2 linked regions of the Rattus norvegicus genome follow. The protein of the gene in region 2 interacts with the protein of the main gene of each other region in a biochemical or structural test. Links are inferred from orthologs where the notes say so. Each region holds a gene or a part of one and is shown on either strand. Other genes may lie near its edges.

Evidence for each region. The genes of interacting proteins can lie anywhere in the genome.
Region 1: the proteins of Snta1 (region 2) and Gucy1a2 interact in a test that uses a peptide from one of them, tested with the Homo sapiens proteins (3 studies listed by BioGRID and IntAct, with this or other methods). The link is inferred for Rattus norvegicus from reciprocal best matches to the Homo sapiens genes SNTA1 and GUCY1A2.

What each region holds. Positions count from the first base shown.
Region 1 is NC_086026.1:8,783,478-8,788,474, forward strand, and holds the start of Gucy1a2 (guanylate cyclase soluble subunit alpha-2), read left to right. Parts: upstream 1-1,734; 5' UTR 1,735-2,154; coding exon 2,155-2,451; intron 2,452-4,997. UniProt on the Homo sapiens protein: Has guanylyl cyclase on binding to the beta-1 subunit. Isoform 2 acts as a negative regulator of guanylyl cyclase activity as it forms non-functional heterodimers with the beta subunits.
Region 2 is NC_086021.1:163,363,679-163,368,828, forward strand, and holds the start of Snta1 (alpha-1-syntrophin), read right to left. Parts: upstream 3,250-5,150; 5' UTR 3,140-3,249; coding exon 2,848-3,139; intron 1-2,847. UniProt on the Homo sapiens protein: Adapter protein that binds to and probably organizes the subcellular localization of a variety of membrane proteins. May link various receptors to the actin cytoskeleton and the extracellular matrix via the dystrophin glycoprotein complex.

The DNA of each region.
Region 1 (4,997 bases), on a different chromosome or scaffold from region 2:
GAGACTCATTTCCAATCCTGTATCTAATTTTAACATAAACAAAGACATATAGGCTTAATTGATGCAATGGTGAATTTAACCATGAATCTGTAATACTATATAAATAATATTAAGAATGATGGTAATATTAATAATAAATTTAAAACACAGGCTTGAATTTAATCTGGTAAAATGTGAAATCACACAGTGGGATCTTTTACCATAGGCTGTGAAACAGTATGTACATATGTATCGACTACATATATAGCATACATATGAATATGTATTTAAATAAGTTAATAGTACTGCAAACAATCATTTCATATCTGTAATGTCTATTTAAGATCTGATTTTTCCAAAGTATAAAAGGAAAGCTCAGTACATTTTTACAGTTTGTTCTAAACAATTAAGAAGATTTAGAATTAAAAGCAAATTGGAGTAGGGAAGCAATAATAACTCTGAGGTTTTCTTTTGTTTTGAAATATGCTCTGTCCATTTAAACTTATCTAACTTACCCAGACTAGCCCTTTGCAAATGAGCATAAAAACACTGTGGCTTTTGTGTCCTTCAAGTTAAAGCCCAAGCCCTTCTGAGATCAGGAGGAGAGGAAGGTGCACAATCGCTTTCACCAGGAAACTAAGCTTGGAACTCCTCCCCTGGGATACTGCAATTTCCTCTTCCTTTTTACCCTCGTCTATTAAAAATTTCAGAACAATCTTTTCTGGAACTAACCAAGGGCTTTGGGGCCACCCCTGCGACTGGTGGCAATGGTTCAAATTGTAAAACGAAGCTGGTGTGCTGAAACTAACACTCAAGAGACCCATAGTGTGGCAAATCTGTTCTTGGTGTATGAATCGCCACTGCCCTTGGTTTTCCCAAATGCATATCTGGAACAAGTTCAGTGGTCTAGGTTCATAGGAACCTCCTGCATGCTCCTTAGGGTCAGGTCAAAGAGAGGAGTCTGTACAGGAATAGATCAGATGCTGTCACCATCTGACAAACATGGTGCAGGGGGTGAGCGGAGCTGTCCAGCACTGGAACTTAGAAAGCTGGAGCTGGGAGATGCTCCTCCAAAAGAGCTCCCACAAATGAAGCAACAAGGAACAGACGCTAGCCTCACTGTCCTCGTGGCCTCACTAGAGGTGGGGAATCATCCTCACAATCTGTCCCGTAGTTTTTTCCTTTGCCTGTGTGTCCGCTGGAGCAGTTGATGTGACCAATCTGAACTTCTAAAATAAACTAGACATTGGACTTTGGACATGGCGTGTGTGTGTGTGTGTGTGTGTGTGTGTGTGTTGAGTGTGTGTATGAGTCTGTTTGTGTCCGTGAGCACGCCTGTGTGTAGGGACCCCAATACTCTAGGTCGGGCTGTCAGTTTTCTTCAGAGAGAGATCACTCCCTCAATTCTATGGCCCTCACCCTAGCGTCAGACATTGGGCGTGCTCACTGCCCTTCTGTTTTTCAGGGGCCAAGGGACATTTGGGCTTAGGAACCTTTAGCCCTATGACAACTACTGTACGCTCCCCCTGGTATCAGGGCACAATGGCTGGGAACCGAAAGAACAGCAGCAAAGTGTCCTAGTTGCTCCCGAAATCTGGCGACAGAAAAGGAAAAGACTTCCAATGAGTATGCTTGGGACACGTGATGCCCGCGGAGGCAGCGCTGGAGGGCGGGGGTATAAAGGGAGGAGGAGGGAGTCGCGCAGCTCCTGGAGGGGGCGGAGGACACGAGCCACGGGCGATCGAGATGCAAGGCGGAGGATCCTTGCTGCATGCACCCTTATCTCCGCAGTCCTTCAGTGGGAGCTTTGTGCACTGGCCGGTGCTGAGGCTGAGCTTGGAGAACAGCAGCTGCAGAGTCAGCGGTGGCGGTACTTGAATCCTCAGCTCATCTCCGGCGCCACTGCGGAGCCTGGGCCGTAAGGAGCCTCGGCAACCCAAGTTCCCGCCATGAGCAGCTGGCTCGGTGGGCTCAGCTGCCCCAGGGACACGCATCTGGGAGAGCGCGAGCGCAACGCCAAGCAGCCCCGAAGCGACTGAAGCTGCCTGCTACAGCATATCCAGCCACGGTCACCACCACCACTGCGTCCCTGCCTCCACCACCACTACCGCCACCATTACCACTACCACCACTGCTGCCGCCGCCGTCTCTGCTGCAGTAGTGTCTCCAAGCAGCATGTCTCGCAGGAAGATTTCATCCGAGTCCTTCAGCTCTCTGGGCTCCGATTACCTGGAGACCAGCCCGGAAGAGGAAGGGGAATGCCCCTTGTCTAAGCTCTGCTGGAATGGCAGCCGGAGCCCGCCAGGGCCACCTGGCTCCAGAGCAGCCGCTATGGCTGCCACCCCAGTCCCCGCTGCCTCTGTCGCTGCGGCAGCTGCTGCAGTCGCCGCCGGGTCCAAGAGAGCCCAACGCCGCCGGAGGGTCAACCTGGACTCACTGGGCGAGAGTATCAGTCTCCTGACGGCGCCCTCGGTGAGCCGGGAAAGGGATGGGGAAAGTTGGATCGAAGCTATCTGGGGAGCTTGGGGAGCTCCCGTCCGCTGGGGGGCGACTCGGCCTCACCCTCTTTGGCCTTGAGTTCCTAGTGGTCCCTAGAGGTCTGGGCTTAGGCAGAAGGGGAACATTGGGAAATAATGAGACCCATTCTTTCCAAGGTCTGCCTGTCCACTTCCAGGCTTAAATCAAACTACACTGTTGTCTTCTTTGATAGCCTCAGGGATCCTTCAGGCCACCTGTTTTTCTATTTTCCTTCTTTCTCTTCTGCTTTCTTCTACTTTAACTCTCTTTTCTTTCCTCTCTTCCGGTCTTCTTTCTTCTCCCTCCTTTCCTCCCTCCTTTCTTTCTTCTATCTTTTCTTCCTCCCAACCCTCCCTTCTTTCTGCTCAAAACTTTCCCAGGGTGTGTTCTGGTTCTGCAACTCCCATTTCCCTTTCCAACATTCCAAAGAGGCCCCAGCTCCCTCCTCTGGAAGCTCTTACTCTTCCTATTTCCCACACTCTCTTGGTCTGATTCGTGACCTTTTAGGGCATCTCTGAATTCCACAGGCTCACAGCAGTCTCTTTTGAATGCTTTTCTCACATTTAAGAAAGCTCTCTTAGATATTTTTCTGAGTTGTTTTTTCTCATACAAAACTGTAATGCTATGTTTACACACACACACACACACACACACACACACACACACACACACACAGAGCACCTTCGTGATGTTTTCTTATTTGTTATAAATTTATTGGCTCAGTTTTCCTTTTAGGGCAAACCTGGTGTCTTTGTAAAAATAAAAGTCACTTGTACCCTTACCTCATCCTGGACTTTCTTATCCTTAGATTCTCCACTGTTTCAGTTTTTTTAAAATGTTTTTATTTCTTCTTTTATGCCTCCGTTATATTAGAATCCACTACTATGTTTATTGAATGAATGCATGCCTTCATGTACTTCCTTCAAACATATGTTGATCTTAGGATATGTAGTATTAGCAGTTTCCCCTGTACACCCTGGTTCTAGTCATTCTTACATACCACTTTTATTCATTCCTCCTCAGACATTTCTCCCACTCCTGCCTGTATGATTTTTCAGGAATGTCAGGCCTCTGTTTTTTACCATTTACTAAGCAGACTTTGGGTTTGTAGAAATCCACTCAATTACAGAGTGTAAAGGAGATTCAATGTCAAATTTGCACCCACTTTTGAACCTCATCCAGGTTTTGAAAGCAAAAACTTTAACTTTCTTTAAGAACTACATTTTCCCCTTCTGCTCTCATTTCTTTGACTTTAACTTTCTCTGAACTTCCCTCAATGTATTTGGACAATGTTCTCTTATTTAGTGTATCCTAGGTTTCCCTTGGAAAGCATACTTGTACTCAGTGTAGAAAAGTCCTGGGGAAAAGCAAGATGTTAAGGATCTATGTTCTGGTCCAGGCAATGCCACAGACATCACTGTGGTATCTGTGTTATTGGAGAAGTGTTTCTTTCAACACTGAAACATATTTTCAGTCTCTTTTCTTTCTGTTGTGTTTTACTCTTTAACACACCATCCTACAGATAATCTAGAAAGATAATTCAGATCAGGTTGGCTGATTTGTTTTCAATCTTCCCTATAAATTTGTCCCACAGAAGATAATCCTGAGACATATATAATGCTACAAATTGTCAAACATAACTGAGTATGAGAGGAATTCAGTAGCTGTGCATATGTAGGTTTGTATCAACCCACAACATAACATTTTTGCAACATATCAATACTTCAGTCAACAGGTTCATATAGCTAACTAAACATAATGATCCATTGGTAAAGAATCCTTGTAACCCAGATTTTTTTCTTTGTGCTTGAGAAGTAAAATATAGAGGTTTCTAAAGTGTCTTTGATAATGATTTTGCATAGAATATTCTCAAATACTCACTTGAGGCTTAGGGAAAATAAAGTGATAACTGATGTATCTACTGTGAGAATGAGAGACAAGAAATAATTTCTGGTGGTTTCTTTTGTAATTTGGAGTTTAGTGACTGATGTGAAAAACATGTGCCCAGATAATGCTTTTCAGAACAAGAAATTTGAAAGAAATTGTGATATTAAAAAGTTCAGAAGGTCTGTGTTCTTTATAAGAACATATAATTTGCATTGGGAAACTTTGTAGAAAGTTACATTACTTTCTTAAGTTGTAAACATCAAGTCATTATTGTATTTAACTAATAACTGAGGCTCCACTGTGTAGCAGATATTGGATTGGGGAAACAGATGCTGAATTATCTACATATAGCTTTTATGGACTTCTTTAGTCCTTAATTTGAGGAATGTGAATTGAAAGGAGCATAGGAACTTTGATTGCACTGTGACATCCAAGGAACATTTTGTGTGTATTTTTTTTTGCACTGTGTGTCTTTGCAGTACAGTCATAATAACAAACATTATTGTACAGGCCCAGTTGGAGACATGACAATAACTTACTATGTCCTTTATTTGAAAGTAATTGGATACTTGGACACAAATGGAGTTATTGGTACGAGACTTTGTATCAAGGAT
Region 2 (5,150 bases):
GACAACTTGGAGACATTGGTTCTCTCCTTCCACCATCTGGGTCCTGGGGTCAAACTGCTCATCAGTCTTGGCAGCAGGCACCTTTACTCCTGAGCCAGTGGGTCTCACCCTGGCCTCCTCCCCTTTGAGGGGGTCAGGCCAGTACCATTTCACGGGGACTGAATATCAGATATCCCTTATATTGAACATTTACATTATTATTCATAGCAGTAGCAAAAGTGGAGTTATGAAGTCACAATGAAAACAGTTTTATAGTTGGGGACCACCACAGCATGAGGAACTGTATAAAACAGTTGCTGTGGGGGTTGGGGATTTAGCTCAGTGGTAGAGCGCTTGCCTAGGAAGCGCAAGGCCCTGGGTTTGGTCCCCAGCTCCGGAAAAAAAAAAAAAAAAAAAAAAAAAAAAACACAGTTGCTGTGTTAGGAAGGTTGAGAAGCACTGCTTCTGAGCCATTTCACCCACCCTCAGATGCCTTTTGCTTGTTTGTTTGTTTGTTTGTTTGTTTGTTTGAGACAGGATCTCACTATGCAGCCCTGAGGGGCCCGAGACTTACTATGTTCAACAGGCTATAAACTCAGAGAGATCCACCTGCCTCTGCCTCTGGGGTGCTAAGACTAAAGACATTTGCCACCACACCCAGACCAAATATCTTAAAATAGTCAGCTGGGCTGGGCATAGTCGTACTTGCTTTTAATCCCAGTGCTGGGGTAGCAAAAAAATAAAGGATTACTGCACATTCAAGACCAACCCTTTACACATACGTCGTTTCAGGACAGTACCAACTACACAGCCAGACACAGTCTCCAAAAGACTCAAGTCAGACCCTTGAATGTCATATTTCTGGCCCATCCTCAAAGTACAGTGATGAGAGATTACTGGCACTGAGCAAGAGGTCACTGTCTCAAGGTTATATAAGTCGGTGACATTTGAGCCTGGAACACCTCTTCCAACCCCCACCCAGGCCCGACAGTTGCTCGTGGCACTGCACAAGGCTTGAGGCCTAGGAGAGGAAGGTGTTTCTATTTATATCTAGCCTCCCCCACCTAAAAGTGGGGACTTCAGTTGCATTTGAAGCTCTGACCATTCCCAGCTGCCTCACGAACTCAGCTGGACCCCAGAAGGGAAGTTACCATAGCAACAGGAGCACAGTCTTCAATCCAGGAAGAATTGGATGAAACTGTTACTTTCCCCGAAGTCCCATAAACATGTCCTTCCAACACCTGGAAGTACAGATTTGAGTTGTGTCCCTGTACCTTGGCAAGACCCTGCTCCTCTGAGGGTTGGTTTGTCTGTCCGCAAAGTGGAACTTTATAGAACTTCAGTTATCCTTCCTGCTCTGACACACTTGAATGTATTTTTTTTTTTTAAATTGGTCTGTTTCCTGGGCCTATCATAGAGTTTGGGATGAAAGCTTGCTCCCTGTCTTGACAATTGGGATTGGCTGCCTGGGAAGGGTACTCCATGGACGGATTCCCCAGACAGTCTTTAGGGCAATAATGCTCTATAATTAAGATTTAAATCCTGGTTCTACCATTCGCTAACTGATCCTGGGGAAATTATTTTTCCCTTCAGAGTCTCAGTTTCTTCGCCTGCAAAACTGGAGATTAAACTCATCACTGATGACTAAACTCACCTTTCACCATTGATGGTCAAGATGAAATAGACCTGAAGTGTAATGGCCACAACACCTAACACACAGTGGCATTCACCACCATGCTCATTCCCTAACCTAGGCCAAAAGATCTAAGCGAGGTACCAATAAACACAGCTCCCTCCAGGGGGCCTGAGAATGCATGGTCACTTTCAATCTGGTAGAGGGTCAGGAATGGTAAGCCCAGCAGCTAGGTACGAACATAGATTTTAAGCACCACATTTAGTTGCTTTGGGAGTCCCTCCTGGCCTCTTTTTCCCACACATGCTGGCAAGCCCTTCCTCATCCTATAGTTACCAAACCAGACTCAGATGGGAAGTGACTTGTGGATGTTCACAGAGTTCTAGAACTCCGATGGTTGCCTGAATGAGCTGGAGAAGTCGTCACTCGGTAAAGTGCTTGCCTAGTGTATAGAAAGCTCTAGGCTTGATCCCCAGCACAACATAAACCTATTTAGCAGCCCATCCCAGTAATCCCAAACCCTCTGGAGGTGGAGATAGGAAGATTAGACATTCGGTGGTCTCCTTTGCTACGTAGTGTCTATGAGGCCAGCATGGGATACACAAGACCATGTCAAACAATTGTCATTCTTGAAAACTAAGAATTCTCAGGAAGGAAAGGCAACTCTGGGTTCATTCTTTCCATTAGAACTCCCAGCCTAGGCATACAGCCTCGGGAGCCCAAGATGTCTTGGTCCTTACTGGCCCCTTCTCTGTTACCATGCCTGTGCCTCCTATCCATCCCTGGCACCCACATTGAGCTCCCAGACTCCAGGCCTCTACCCATTCACCTAGGTTGTGTCTCATGACTTCCCCCTTGTCCTAGCAGTGTCCCAGGTCTCAATTCCCTTTCCTTTCGCCGCCGCCCCCGCTCCCCGTCTGTCTTCCCGAGGACCCTCCTGCCCTTGGTACCCATAGCTACGGTTTTGCTTCAAAACCGAACTAAGCACCTATGTCCTTGGTGCGCCCCCATCCTTCCACACTTCTGAGTCTCCTGTAAGACACCCGAACTCCCCAAACCCCTTCCGACCTTGGTGCTCTTCCCTCACTCTGTTCCTTCCTCCCCGGGAGACTCTGCTCCGCCCTAGACAGGTTTTCGGTTACCTAGTCTCAGTGCCCTGCCAGCCCCCGTGATCCCTGAGAGCTCCGCAGCGACACAGACAACACGACCCCGTGCCCTCGGTGCCCCGCACCTACCCTTGATGCTGATGCCGAGCCCGCCGGCGTCGGCCTTGCGCACCGTCACGCGGCGCCGCTGGAGCAGCAGCGCCTCTGGCAGCTGTGGGGACGCCGCGCCGGGCTCAGCGGCGCCGTTGAGCTGCGCGGGCTCGGGCTCCGGGCCGGGCTCGCCGTCGGCGGGGCTCACGGTCAGCGCGTCCTCCGCCAGAGTGAGCAACACCCGCTGCCACCGCTCACCACCCGCCCCGGAGCCCGCCCCGGAGCGCAGTTCTAGCAACCCGGTGCGCGGAGCGCGCCTGCCTGACGCCATCTTCGCCTCGAAGTCCCAGTACGCTGCGCTCGCCCGGTCCCGCCGTACCCGGCCCGCTCCGACCCAGCGCCCAGGGCAGAGGGCGGCGGGGCAGCAGAGCCAGCCGCCACCCTTCCCCGGGCCTCGGGGGCGGAGCTTCGCAGGACAGGCTGTCGGGGGCGGTGCTAACGGGGGCGGGGCCCCGGGAGAAACTGAAGAGACGCTCCCCGGTAATCTAAGGATGTGCTGCGGGGATCGCTTAGGAGTTGGTCAGAACCGCGCTCCCGCAAGGCCACAGTTAGAGGAGGATGAGGGTGGGGTGCTGTTCGGGAACATAAAGGGGGCCGGGTTCTGTGAATGGGGCAACATAAGAATCCGGTTCTGTGTGCCGTCGAGGATTGGACTGTGTGTAGCTCGTGGAAGCAGAAGGACAAAAAAAAAAAGAATCAAGGGTCCTGGGGCAGAGCTGCCTGTGGCGGGACGGTAGGCTCCAGGGACTCTGCAGACAGAGTTAAATGAGCTAAGGAAGAAGATGGTTTCCCATAGGGAAGATGTGTGCCATAGGGAGAGGGTACCAGCGGAGGTCTGTTGGCGTGACTCAGCTTGAGGGTGCGGCCTCTAAAGATGTAGGTCTACCCTACCCACCGGGAGGAGAAACGCCACTCCTTTGAGAACTTGGTCCCATCACTTGGAATAGAAGCTGGAGGATCTGCAAGTTTGAGGCCAGTCTAGGCTACATGAGACCCTGCCTTTAAAAGATACAAAATAAAAAGACATAAAGAGATAGAGATAGAAGGCTCAAAGGTTAAGAGCATGTACTGCTCTTATAGAGGACCAGAGTAAAATTCACAGCTCGCAGTCACTTGTAACTCCAGCTCCGTGGGGATCTGAGACCACTAGCTTGGGAACCTCTGTTCACATTGCAAACACCTATACCCGTGCACACAAAAATAATGAAAATAAATAAAGACATGTGTTACATGCATACATGCATACATACATATATGTATGGCACTTATTCCATGTTTGCATGGCACATGGACTGGCTGATCTATGCTATCAGTTGTGCCTTGTATAAATCCTGCATAACCGATACATTGTTACTATCTTTTTTACTCTTTAGGGCAGCAGATCTCATTACAGATGCTTGTGAGCCACCACGTGAGTGCTGGGAATTGAACTCAGGACATCTGAAAGAGCAGTCAGTGCTCTTAAACGCTGAGCCATCTCTCCAGCCCACATTGTTGCGATTTTATTGATGAGGAAACTGAGACACACAAGCACTAAAAGCAGACCTCTCTTCTAACCTAGGTCTTTCTGGCTTCCAAGCTCATTTCCCTCCTACTCCAGTGTGCTACGTGCATAACAGCAGGAGATAATGTCACTGTTCGCTCTTGAGTACTTACTGGACCAAGCAAGATGCCATATGTAATCACAGCACTAGGAGACTGAAGCAGGGGGATCATGAAGTAATTCTAGGCTAGCTAGAGTTCATAGCAAGTTCCAGGTTATACTTTTTTAAATTATTCTAATGTTTATGTGGATTGGTGTTTTGCCTTGACGGATGTCTATGCTCCACATAAAGTCAGTCCTCGAGGGCCAGAAGAGGGGCATCAGATCCCAGAAACTAGAATTAAAGATGGTTTTGAGCTGTCATATATATGCTTAGAATTGAACTCTAGACTTTAAGTTAAATATTGAAGGACAAGCTAGACTTACTGAGAAAGATCTGTAATCTCAGATACTCAGCCTGAAACAGGAGAATCACAAGTTCAAGGCCAGCCTGGGCAACTGAGTGAGACCCTGTTTATAATTTTTAAAATACAGCAACAGGTGGTAGTGGTGGTATACACCTTTGATCCCAGCAAGGCAGAGGCAGGTGAATCTCTGAGATTGAGGCCAACATGGTCTACAGAGTGAGTTCTAGGTCCACTGGGACCACACAGAGAAACCCAGTCTGAAAGAGAGAAAGAAAAAAGAAAGAAAATAAAATTAAAATTAAATAAAAATAAAAATACATTAAAATGTAAAT